3 linked regions of the Cricetulus griseus genome follow. The protein of the gene in region 2 purifies or fractionates together with the protein of the main gene of each other region. This does not show direct contact. Links are inferred from orthologs where the notes say so. Each region holds a gene or a part of one and is shown on either strand. Other genes may lie near its edges.

Region 1 (4,126 bases), about 23 Mb from region 2:
AATAAAGCAATTTGATCTTTGCAAGCACTAGGTATCTGGGGAGTGAGAGGATACTTCTGTGCGGGGGACCATGTTGGCAAGCCAATGACACACTGACTGAATGTATTCACCAAAGACCAGACTGACAGAAATGGAAGATTTAACAGGAGACACCACCAACGCTGGAGGTGTGGGAATTCAAAGATTGCACCTGACATAATGTGTTCCCAGTGTTAGCTCTTTACAGGGTTTAATGGAAATTTCTTAGGTCTGACAGGTGGGACACTTGTGGGAGGGAGCTCCATCTTGCTTAGGTGACATGACATTGTTGAGGACTAACTTTTACAGAGTGGGATGCCTGCAGTTGGGACTGGCCATCTGTCCGATGCAGGCATGTGCTATTAGGGGTCAAACTTGTGAAAGTGTAAATCTGCTCATTAGACGGTGGAATTCTCTGTATGATAATCAGGTTATGCAAGATAAAGTGTAGTCAGGGCTCCCCTCCCTCTTCCCTTCCTTTCCTGGGACTCACTCTGTAGACCATGCTGGCCTCGAACTCACAGAGTGCTGGGATTAAAGGCGTGTGCAACTATCGCCTGGCTGTACCTTCTGATTTTTGCTTCTCACGATGTGCCTCCCACCCCCAAAGCTGGCTTCAGACTCTCTGTGTAGACCAGGCTGGTCTCGAACAAACAAAAATCCTCCTGCCTTTGCTTCCTCAGTGCTGAGATTGAAGGTGTGCACCACCACACCCGGCCAGAGGTCCCTTCTGTCCACGGGGAAACATCTCCTGGGCCCCCATCTATTCTTCTGGGAAGGGGAAAAAGTAGCAGTTGCTGTTGGGGGCATTATTATTATTATTATTATTATTATTATTATTATTATTATTTATTTTCGAGACAGGGTTTCTCTGTGTAGCTTTGGAGCCTATCCTGGCACTCGCTCTGTAGACTAAGCTGGTCTTGTACTCACAGAGATCCACCTGCCTCTGCCCCCCGAGTGCTGGGATTAAAGGCGTGTGCCACCAACGCCCGGCTTGTTGGGGGCATTAAGCTAAGTCATGTACCGAAAGCTTTACTGTGATCCAAAAAACTTGTATACTCTGGGATAGCCGACTCAAGGGATGGAGGACTGTCTCTATGGAGAAGGTGTTAACTCCAGGCAACCCCGGGCACAGCACCTGCTAGCCAAACAAGAGCTGCTGCTTTAAGAAGCGCTATTCACGTGACCAACGACGCCTCGGTGCCTTCTCCACATATTCACACTGACCAATCCTGAGGCGGGACGGCCGCTGGTGGGCGGGAAGCTCAGGAGACAGCTGCCGATTGGCTCCGCGTACTGAGGGCGGAGCCTGGGCTCCGAGAGAGGGAATTAGCGAGAGCCGGTGAGTGGAAGCCGCCGCCGCCGCCGCCGCCTCCGCCGCCTCCCCGGTAGGCAGGGTCCTCGCATCGCCGGAGTCCGCAGGTGAGCAGGCTTCTTCGCGTCCGTGCTGGGCTGCTCACCAGCCTCGGGGCCCGCGGGGGCCCGCCCGCCCGCCTCACCGAGCACGTGACACAAGTTCCGTAACCCTTGACCTCCCCACTCCACCCCACGCCCTCTGGATCTGGGATGAAGGTGGGTCGGAGGATGCGCAACCCACAGGCCCGAGGAGGCCGGTTCTCACGCTTCCTGGTCAGCACTGGGAACTGAGGCTGTGCAAGACCTTGGTCACAGTCAGGACTTTGAGGTCTCAATAGGGGAACATAATAGAGCAACTCCCTACTGGCTTTTCAAATGCTCACGACTGAGTGCTCCCATTTTACAGATGGGAAAACTGAAGGGTACTCATCCCATCCAGTGGTGAATCTAAAGGTGGGACTTGGGTTACAAAGCCAGGCCTAGTTCAAACATAAGCCTGCTCCTGGTATATATATAGCATCCTGAGTATATTTTGGTTTTTCGAGACAGGTTTTCTCTGTGGCTTTGGAGGCTGTCCTGGAGCTCACTCTTGAGACCAGTCTGGTCTCGAACTCACAGATCCCCCCCGCCTATGCCTCCCGAGTGCTGGAATCAAAGGCGTGCGCCGCCACTGCCCAGCATCTGAGTTAATTTAAAACAAGGGTTTGAGTCCCTGACATCTAATTACTCAATGCTTGCTGGCTTGTCTTGGACAATCTAGGTAACCTTTCTGAGCTATCTCTCGTGGCTTTGTAAACTAGACAAAAATGTACACTATCTATCTTGTTAGCGAGGATAGGAGGAGGTCATAGAGTGTTGCTACTTGGAAGCCACAAACATTTATGTGCTTAGAGCTGGGGGCTGGAGAGATGACTCAGAGGTTACGAGCACTGCTGCTCTTCCAGAGATTCTGAGTTCAATTCCCAGCAACCACGTAGTGGCTCACAACCATCTGTAGTGGGATTCTGATGCGCTCTTCTGGCATAAAGGTGTACATGCAGACAGAGCACTCATTCATAAAATAATAAATCTTTAAAAAACCAAACAAAATAAATAAGACATATTTTTTAAAATTCGGCAGAGAAATAGCTGGGCTGAAGAGATGGCTCAGCAGTTAAGAGCACTGGCTGCTCTTGCAGATGACCCAGGTTTGATTCCCAGCACCCACATGGCAGCTCACAACTGTCTATAACTCCAGTTATAGGGGATCTGTCACCTCACACAGACATAACACAGGCAAAACACCAGTGCACATAAAAATAAGTTAAAGAAAAAAAAAAGAAAAATAGTTATTCTAGGCCAGGAGTAGTGGTGCACATGTTTAATCCCAGCATTGGGGAGGCAGAGGCAGGAAGTTTGAGGCTAGCCTGATCTACAGAGAGAGTTCCAGGGCTAAATAGAGAGACTTTGTCTCCAAAACAAATGAATACCTGCTCTTTCTTTTTTCAGCAGGTGTTAATGAAGGCATAATATGTGCTGACATTGCTGGTCGCTTGGGATGCAAAGGTGAGCACACAGACCATGATCTTTGCTGGTGTGCAGCTTACAGTCTACTAGGGACCACACGCTGGTCCCCAGTGCCGCTTTAAAAAGAGTGGGAATGATGGCGAAAAGCTGTGTGTAGTGAGCTTGCAGCCCGCCCCAGCATGCCAAGATAGGTGGTGGGTTCCTGGAGCTTGCTGACCAGCCAGCCTAAGCTAATCTGTGGACCTCAGGTTCCAGTGCGAGACCCTGTCTGAAAAAATAAAGTGGACAGCTCCTCAGGGGGTATGTTACCCAAGGTTGTCTTCTGTAAACTCATACACAAAAGCTATGCAGCTGTGTAGTTACAGACTGTTTGAACCTAGGGCTCACACATGCTCGGAAATATTTCTACAACTGAGTTGTATCTTCAGTCTTCTTTCTTTAATTTTTTTTTCTTTCTTTTTTTTTTTTTTGAGACAGGGTTTCTCTGTATTGCTTTGGAGGTTGTCTTAGAACTCGCTCTGTAGACCAGGCTGGCCTGGAACTCAGAGATCCGCCTACCTCTGCCTCCTGAGTGCTGGGATTAAAGGCGTGAGCCACCAATGCCTGGCTTCTTTACTTCTTTTCTTTTCTTTTTGTGTGTGTGTTTTAGTTTTTCTTTTCTTTCTTTCTTTCTTTTTTTTTTTTTTTTGGTTTGTCGAGACAGGGTTTCTCTGTGGCTTTGGAGGCTGTCCTGGAACTAGCTCTTGTAGACCAGGCTGGTCTCGAACTCAGAGATGTATCTGCCTTGCTTTCTGAATGCTGGGATTAAGGGTGTGCACCATCACTTCAGCTCCAGTCTTCTTTTTACATTTTATTTTGAGATAGTCTGAGTTGTTAGGGTAACCTTGAACTCACTTCATAGTTCAAGTGGGCTTTGAACTATCCATGCTCCTGCCTCAGAGTTGCTTTAAAAACAAATGATGGGGACATTTACACAATCTGGGAAGAGCTTCCTTAGCAAGTGACATCTGAACTATGATCTGAAGGGGGTAAGTGATTGATCGAGATTTGGGGAGAACAACAAAGAAGGAGAGTGTCAGACAGAAGCAGCAGAATGGATTGAGGCCTTGAAATAAGGAATTGAAAGGTAGCCACATGTAGACACACAGAACACAAGGGAAGAAGCAGTGAGTTTTGCAGATAGACGGCGCATGCATAGCCTTTCTAGCGTGGGCCGGTTTTACTCCATTTTTCTAAAAGCAAT
Region 2 (3,649 bases):
ACAGAGAGAAACCCTGTCTCGAAAAAACAAAAACAAAAACAAGAACAAAAACAAACAAACAAAAGATTTAACTTCCAGGATCTACTCAAAGGATAAAGCACTTTGAAATGTGTGGGGTTTAGATAACCCAGCCTGCTGAGTTAACCCTGTTAATCCCCTGCTGCCCAGATTACTACCCTGGCCTGTGGCTGCCTATTTCTGGGCTGCAGCTCAGTTGAAAACAAACCCAGTCACCTTGCCTCAGTCCTTGGCACTACATACTAAAGTCTACCACCTTCCCTTGAGACAGACGCAGGTGGTGTTTAGAATAATTCTTATTGGTATTGACATTGCTTCAGGATGTAGCTTAGGTTTCTCTGTTACTGGTCCAGGTGTAGTCATGATGCATCACTGTATTACAGGTACCCTGGAGGTCCACAAGAGTACCATAAGTGTACCTATGGGCTATAGCATTGAGGGTGGAAGGCCTTTGTCTTTTGCCTTCTCTGGCCTCTGTCTGTTCAAAATAGCTCTGCTCTGTTGGGTCAGTGTTTAAGGCCTTTCTTTCCCCATGATGGATGGTTTTAGCATTTTTGCTGGTCCTGCCTGACTCTAGAGGCCCTCACTATTTCTAGATTGACTTCCATTGGCCTTTTTCCTGTAAGAGAACTCACGTTGATCTTCTTATTCTAATTAACAAATACTTTCCCTCTGAATGCAGCTCCTCATTCATCATGAATTTGTCTTGTCCCACAAGGCATAGGCATCACCAAAGCCCTCTCTGTCTGTGGGTCAGTGTTTACTCTGCCACTCATGTTGCAGATGTATACTGATAGCATAGGAATAGTAAAGTGTCAAACCAGAACAAGTACAGTGCCTCATTCTAGGACTAAAAGGTGATAGTCACATGTATGTTTATTTGTCCTGCATGTAGTACCAAGGAATTGAATCTGCCAGGTGATGCCTCTACTTTTTTTTCCAGACTAATTTTATTTTATGATTATGGGTGAGTGCCTACATGTATGTTTGTTCACTACATGCATACTTGGTGCCTCTAGAGGCCAGAAGGGGTTGTCAGACCCCCTGAAGCTCTAGTTATAGACAGTTGTGAGCTGCCACATGGGTGCTAGGACTAGAACCTGGGTCCGCTGGAATAGCAGCCAATGGTCTAAATCTCATTTCCTCCTATATATTAAAATAGCTTTTCTTTCATTCACAAATAAAGCATGATATGTGTTTGTGCCTGTAGCATGCCGTGTGGCATGTTGAGCATGCCATTGCTCTGTTTTGTCCATTATTACCGTTCCAAGCATTTGCTCATTGAAGTGTGTGTGTGTGTGTGTGTGTGTTGTTTTGCTTTTTTGAGGCAGGGTCTCTCTATGTAGCTCTGGTTGACCTGGAACTTGCTATGTAAACCAGGGTGGCCAAGAACTCTTAGAGACCTATCTGCCTCCTGAGTGTTGGTATTAAAGGTGTGTGCCACCACGTCTGGCTTATTGATATTTATAGTCAGTTACACACTGGTGGTTCTGCTGGACCACATGGTCTAGTGAACCAGTAGGGAGCAATTCCCAGGAATTCCTCTCTGGGACATACTAGTTGGTATACCCTGAAAAATAATTGTAAAATACTAGCGAATATTTGCTTAATGAAAGATCCCAGTGGGTTACATATATGCTTCATTCCAACTGTGTGACAAACTCCAGAAAGGAGAAACTAGAGAAAGTAAAAGTAAAATGATGTCATTGGCAGAGCCTTGGGATAGTTGGGATGGATGCAAGAGTTAGAGGAGCAGGGAGGATGTCTGGGGAGGTAGGACTCTTGTGTATGATACTGTAATGATAGGTATGTAACCGAAGCGTCTGTCAAAACCCACAGGACAGAATTACACAGAGGAGGTCTTCATGTAAACAGGGAGCTTTTGTTAGGGTAAATGGTCTACTTCATGGTCTCTTGACCTTATCTTTCTAGGAAGAACGCTCGAGGAGTGAGCACAACTTGGTGAACATCCAGAAAACCCACGAGCGAATGCAGACTGAGAACAAGAGTGAGTACCTGAGGGCAGAAGAGAAAGGAAGTGGGAATGGCTGAGGCCAGGAGCATGGCCTTACTGTGTCTTCAAAGGGAGTTTTGCTTGTATCTGCATATCCCAAAGTTGCTCTTTAGGGTCATTGTTCCTTTGTCTGAATGACTTAAAGTGACAGGACTAAAGACAGTTGGCCTTGCACTAAAGGACCTCAGAGTCTCTCAGCTCGGACTGGAAAGGCAGCCTTGAAGCAGGAAAACTCACCCTTACCTTAGAGCTCATAGGCATGGGGCTTTTCGGGAGCAGAGTTCCCCCATGGCCTCTGCATATGCCCCAAGGCAGGTCACCCCCTGTGCCTGGGGCTTTCTAACTCAGAATAGCTTTGGACAGTACTTGCTTCTCCTTGGTAATGATGTGGACAGGAGGCAGGTTAGAAAGCAATTTTTAAGAATGGTGGTGGCGTCTTTACCATATGGAAATGTGGCCCTGTTGAACAGGGAACACTTTTTTTTTTAATGTATGTTGGGATATGTGTATGCACATGTGTATGTGTGCAAAGGCCAACCTCATGTTTTGTTTCTCACCATTCATTCGCTGGATAACCCTGACTGTCCTAGAACTCTGTGTGGGCCAGGCTGGCTTTCAGTTTATAGATATCCACCTGCCTCTGCAAGTGCCGAGATTAAAGCAAATGCTACACATCTGGGATGCCTGGCTTTTTTTTTTTTTTACTTAGGTTCTGGTGATAGAGCTTGGTTCCTGGTACTTTCAAGGCAAGTATTTTACAGACAGAATCATCTTACTAACTTCCTGGGAGCATGTTTGAAGTGATAAAGCTCAGACCTTGACCTCTGAGCCTCTTCAAGCTGATTCTGATGTCCTGGAATCAGGGTTGCATGCTGCCACCTCCTCTTGCTCATGTCTCCTCATGCTTGTGTTTATAGTTTCTCCTTATTACCGGACAAAGTTGCGTGGCCTCTACACAACCGCCAAGGCTGATGCGGAGGCTGAGTGCAAGTGAGTAATGCCCACAGGGCTGTTGCTGCTCTGTTCCCTGACGTCTGGTGCTGGACCACATATTCCCGAGGCCACAGCCCCAGCTGCCTTCTGTCTGTGAAGAGGGTCCTCCTACTCTGCCTCTCCCATTGCTTGAACCTTCCCAAGCTCTTCCTTCTTTATCCATTCCTCTCCTGTATCTTATTGCCTTGTAGATGACAGTAAAGCAGTGTTGTGTCCCTGCATACCATTTCCTAGTCACATGACCTGGTAGTCAATTCACTTGAAACCCCGTTGCTTTGTCATTAAAATCAGGGTAATAACTCCCTGCTGGATTGTGAGCATACAGTGGGATTATGTGGAGAGAATGACAGATTCTATCAACTGTTCTGACCCTCCCCTGCCATGGGAATATGCCGACTATTGCAGCCTGTAATGGTAACAAGGACCACTACCTGGCACTACCTGGTACCATTCCAAGTACTTTCTTAATTTTTTTATTTTTGAAACAGAGTCCCATAATGTAGCTCTTATTGTTCTGGAATTCACTATGTAGACCAGGCTGGCCTCCAACTCACAGAGATTGTCCTGCCTTTGCCTCCCTAGACATGTTCCACTATACCTGGCCCAAATACTTTGTGTTTATTT
Region 3 (3,649 bases), on a different chromosome or scaffold from region 2:
GTTCCCTCTTGTGTCATCTGTCAGCCAAGCATCTGACTGGATCCTGGTACTCAGCTTCTAACACTCCATACACAACCTAACTAAATACACAACATCAAGGTCACACTTCACTACAGCTGGGCAACACCAGCCCTTAGCACAGGCAATCTGAGACAACAGAAATTAAAATGCAACTTGAAGGGGCTCTGCATGTCCTGAGGGTTTTCCCAAACCCAGGGTTTCTCTCTAAGAATTAATCCTAAAAATAGTTCATGCATCTTCAAAATCCAAAACTCTCAAACTATGCAAAAGGGATAGAAAAGTAACTCTACACATTTTAAACTCATGATTAAAAGGAATTACAATGCAACAGTAAACACTTGCCTGGCAGTGCTAATTTTACTATTAACAGTTCAGATTGTCATTAAACCCAAACAAGCTAGACGTATGTATTTACCTGTTCTTCAACAGTCCACAGCTGGTTGAATGTTTCAGGTTTGGTGTCATCACACAGGCGACCTCTTATCATCTGCATATAAAAGAAGGCTTTTATAAATGGAAAACAGCAAGGATATAGCTAAAGAACACACAAGGAATGTTTCACAATTTCCAAAATATCTTTGCGTATTTTTAACACATATACCACCTATTTACTGATTAATTTTTTTTATATTCTTATATTTCATTTGGTTTTAAACTCTTCACAATCCTCAAATAAACAACAAGAAGTGTGGGTTCAAAACTGAAAAGTAACAATTCCTACAGAGACAAAGCCATACCTCAAATCCTGGTCACACTCCACAGTGCCACTGGTACTGGGCAAGGTACCCACAATGCCCATTTAAAACCCATAAAGACTCTACAATATAACCAATACCAATTACATTTTATAAGAGGCTGCAACTTGAAGACCAGAACATACACAACAACTGAGGTGTCAGAGCTAGCAGTTTGGACGCAGATTTAGGTTTCTGGTTAACTGGAAAGTTTACGTTCCCATTATTTTTCAGTGAACAGCTCTCCATTTTAAGAACACAATTCAACAGAACGTTAAATACTTTCATGCTTTCACGCATTTCATACCACTCACCTGAGGGCGACTATGGGAGCCTTCTGGACCGTCACTCAAAGGCAACACGGAGTAAGAGAGGGGCTCTCCATCCTTCTTAAGATCTAAAGGACTTTTTGGTCTAGCAGGCAAGCCTACTAAAAATAAAATCACATACAGAATTATTCAAGCAAGACACTGCAAGACATCTTCCTCATGAAATTCTCACCGTGTGAGTTCTTACCTTTATCGAAAACTAACTTAACTCTTCTAGAATGTCTTTTGCGATTTTTAAATTCTCTTTCGAAGTTCCCAAGGCTGTTGGTATACTGGTCCCACACAATCTCAGGCAACTGAACAACTCTCTGTGGGTATGGAAGCCCTATATCGGCCTGGGAAAAAAGACAAAATACAAATATCAGAGTGCCAATCTACATTTAACTCAAGGGGATAATCAGTAGAATAAAATGCAAGAGACACACTGTAAACACTATTCCTAGTGCTAAATATGAACTATGTATAAAGAAATACAGGATCGCATCACTAGCAACTCTACACAGGAACACCAAACCCCCACCAGTTCTACTAACAAGCACCCTGAGTGTGCGGAATGCAACACGTGAGACACATTTTGGCATTTAGCCTCAAGGTTGTGGCTTATCTGTAACACAGTAAAAATGAATTCACAATCTAAAGTCTTTTTCTTTCGGGCACTGTTGGGCTTTGTACAAAACATGTGCACCCAGCAGCACATAGCTACATCCCTTGCTTCAATTATGACACCTTAGAAATGAAACTTCCAAATTAAATCTAGGACAAACAAGTCTTCCTAAGCAACACAAACTTTGTTTCTGTATTGAGTATCTGGGTTTAATCTTTGTAAAAAGTTAAGATGCTCACTAACACATCTGTTTCAGAATTTTAAAAGAATTCTAAATTTAACCTGGAAATGAAAAACAAGCAAACAGCCAAATGAATATAAATCTAGTAAGTATGCCTAGATGTATGTTTTTGCTCACCAGAAAAGAGATTAAAGTTAATACATTTATTATTTATTTCTTTTTATTTTTTATTTTTTGGTTTTTCGAGACAGGGTTTCTCTGTGGCTTTGGAGGCTGTCCTGGCATTTGCTCTGGAGATCAGGCTGGCCTCGAACTCACAGAGATCCGCCTGCCTTTGCCTCCCCAGTGCTGGGATTAAAGGCGTGCGCCACCAACGCCCGGCTTTGTTATTTATTTCTCTAACAGTTTTAATTTGCCAAAAATTGCCATCTTAAGAACAATGTCTTTGTGCTCAAGCAAACTTTAATACTGATAAAAGATGGACTTTTTTTTCCCATTTATTTATTTTAATGTCTTAAGCTTTTGTTGTTTAGGGTACTTTTTGTTTTCTTAACCAGTGTCTCTTGTAGCGACCTCAAATCTGATTAGTAGGTTTGAGGGCGACCTTCATCAACTCAGGACCCTCACTCGTAAGGCAATTTTGGATTCTAAATCTGCACCACCACTCTGGACCGAGGGGATCCCTATTTCAGAGAGAAAGTATAATACAGCTCTGAAACCAGTTTTGAATAATCGACGGGTAGATTATGCCTGTACTATGGAATGTAGCGTGGTCTGAGACCAGACAAAGAACAGTGTGTTGATTAATCACACTTCTCAGTTACCCCGGGTTCACTACATAGAGAAGCACTCACAGATTTGGTTTTAATGTTTTCACACAATGCTAATGTTGAGGCTTTCAAATATGTGAAGCAAGGTTCAGAGGCAGTAGAGCACTTTTGTACACAGGGTCTTGGTTCCATCCCTTGGTTGTACCAGAGAACAACACCCCCACACAATGTACTTATGTGTTTAATGCTGATTAGTTAGGGGGCTCCCTAATTTGAGGCACTTAGAGTATATTTGAATGGCTCACTGTTAAAATTTGTTTCAAATAAAAAGGAAAACTAGCTAGTTTCACACAAAGGAAAAAAAGAAACCTCTTTCAAAATTAAATGAAATTCATAGTTTCTCTTCATAGACTTGGTTATACTCTAAACATGTATAAAATAAATTTTTGTGTCGTCTCTGTATTATAAACATTTGCTTTTCCTTTCAGTAGCAAATGCAACCCAAACAAAAGCAGTTAATAATTAATAAGTCCTCTGCACCAGGCCTCAGAGCAGCAATAATCCTGAAGTCCCGGAAGCAGGAGGAAGTGACAAGTGGAGAACAGACAAAGAATGTGAAAAATTGCTCTGTTCACACAGACAATGAGAGAGCTCAGCTCTTTCCATCTGGGCAAAAGTCACTGTGTGTTGGACAGGGAAAGAAGATGTCGCTTTGGTAACAGGATTAAACTGGAAGGGGGTGAAGTTAAATATTTTTTTTGTTTTGTTTTGTTTCTGTTTTGGGGGGGGGGGGACAGGTTTTCTCTGTATAACAGTCCTGGCTGTTGTGGAACTTGCTATGTAGAACAAGCTGGCCCCAAACTCAGAGAGATCCATCGCTGTGATTAAGGTGTGTGCCACCACCACCTGGCAAGTTAAATATTCTTAAAGCACAGACTCACAGAAAAAGAAACATAATTATCTTAAATTACCAGGTACACTCCAATACATGTTTAAAAGTATCAAAGTAC

Evidence for each region.
Region 1: the proteins of Sgf29 (region 2) and Taf6l purify together in Homo sapiens (affinity purification with mass spectrometry; 4 studies listed by BioGRID and IntAct, counting the BioPlex papers as one, with this or other methods). This does not show direct contact. The link is inferred for Cricetulus griseus from reciprocal best matches to the Homo sapiens genes SGF29 and TAF6L.
Region 3: the proteins of Sgf29 (region 2) and Zzz3 purify together in Homo sapiens (affinity purification with mass spectrometry; 7 studies listed by BioGRID and IntAct, counting the BioPlex papers as one, with this or other methods). This does not show direct contact. The link is inferred for Cricetulus griseus from reciprocal best matches to the Homo sapiens genes SGF29 and ZZZ3.

Annotation. Positions count from the first base shown.
Region 1 is NC_048596.1:51,305,794-51,309,919, forward strand, and holds the start of Taf6l (TAF6-like RNA polymerase II p300/CBP-associated factor-associated factor 65 kDa subunit 6L), read left to right. Parts: upstream 1-1,295; 5' UTR 1,296-1,443; intron 1,444-1,537; exon of another isoform or gene 1,538-1,593; intron 1,594-2,865; 5' UTR 2,866-2,914; coding exon 2,915-2,922; intron 2,923-4,126. UniProt on the Homo sapiens protein: Functions as a component of the PCAF complex. The PCAF complex is capable of efficiently acetylating histones in a nucleosomal context. The PCAF complex could be considered as the human version of the yeast SAGA complex.
Region 2 is NC_048596.1:74,084,111-74,087,759, reverse strand, and holds part of Sgf29 (SAGA-associated factor 29), read left to right. Parts: intron 1-1,950; coding exon 1,951-2,026; intron 2,027-2,949; coding exon 2,950-3,022; intron 3,023-3,649. UniProt on the Homo sapiens protein: Chromatin reader component of some histone acetyltransferase (HAT) SAGA-type complexes like the TFTC-HAT, ATAC or STAGA complexes.
Region 3 is NW_023276806.1:6,892,483-6,896,131, forward strand, and holds part of Zzz3 (ZZ-type zinc finger-containing protein 3), read right to left. Parts: intron 1,420-3,649; coding exon 1,272-1,419; intron 1,186-1,271; coding exon 1,070-1,185; intron 509-1,069; coding exon 437-508; intron 1-436.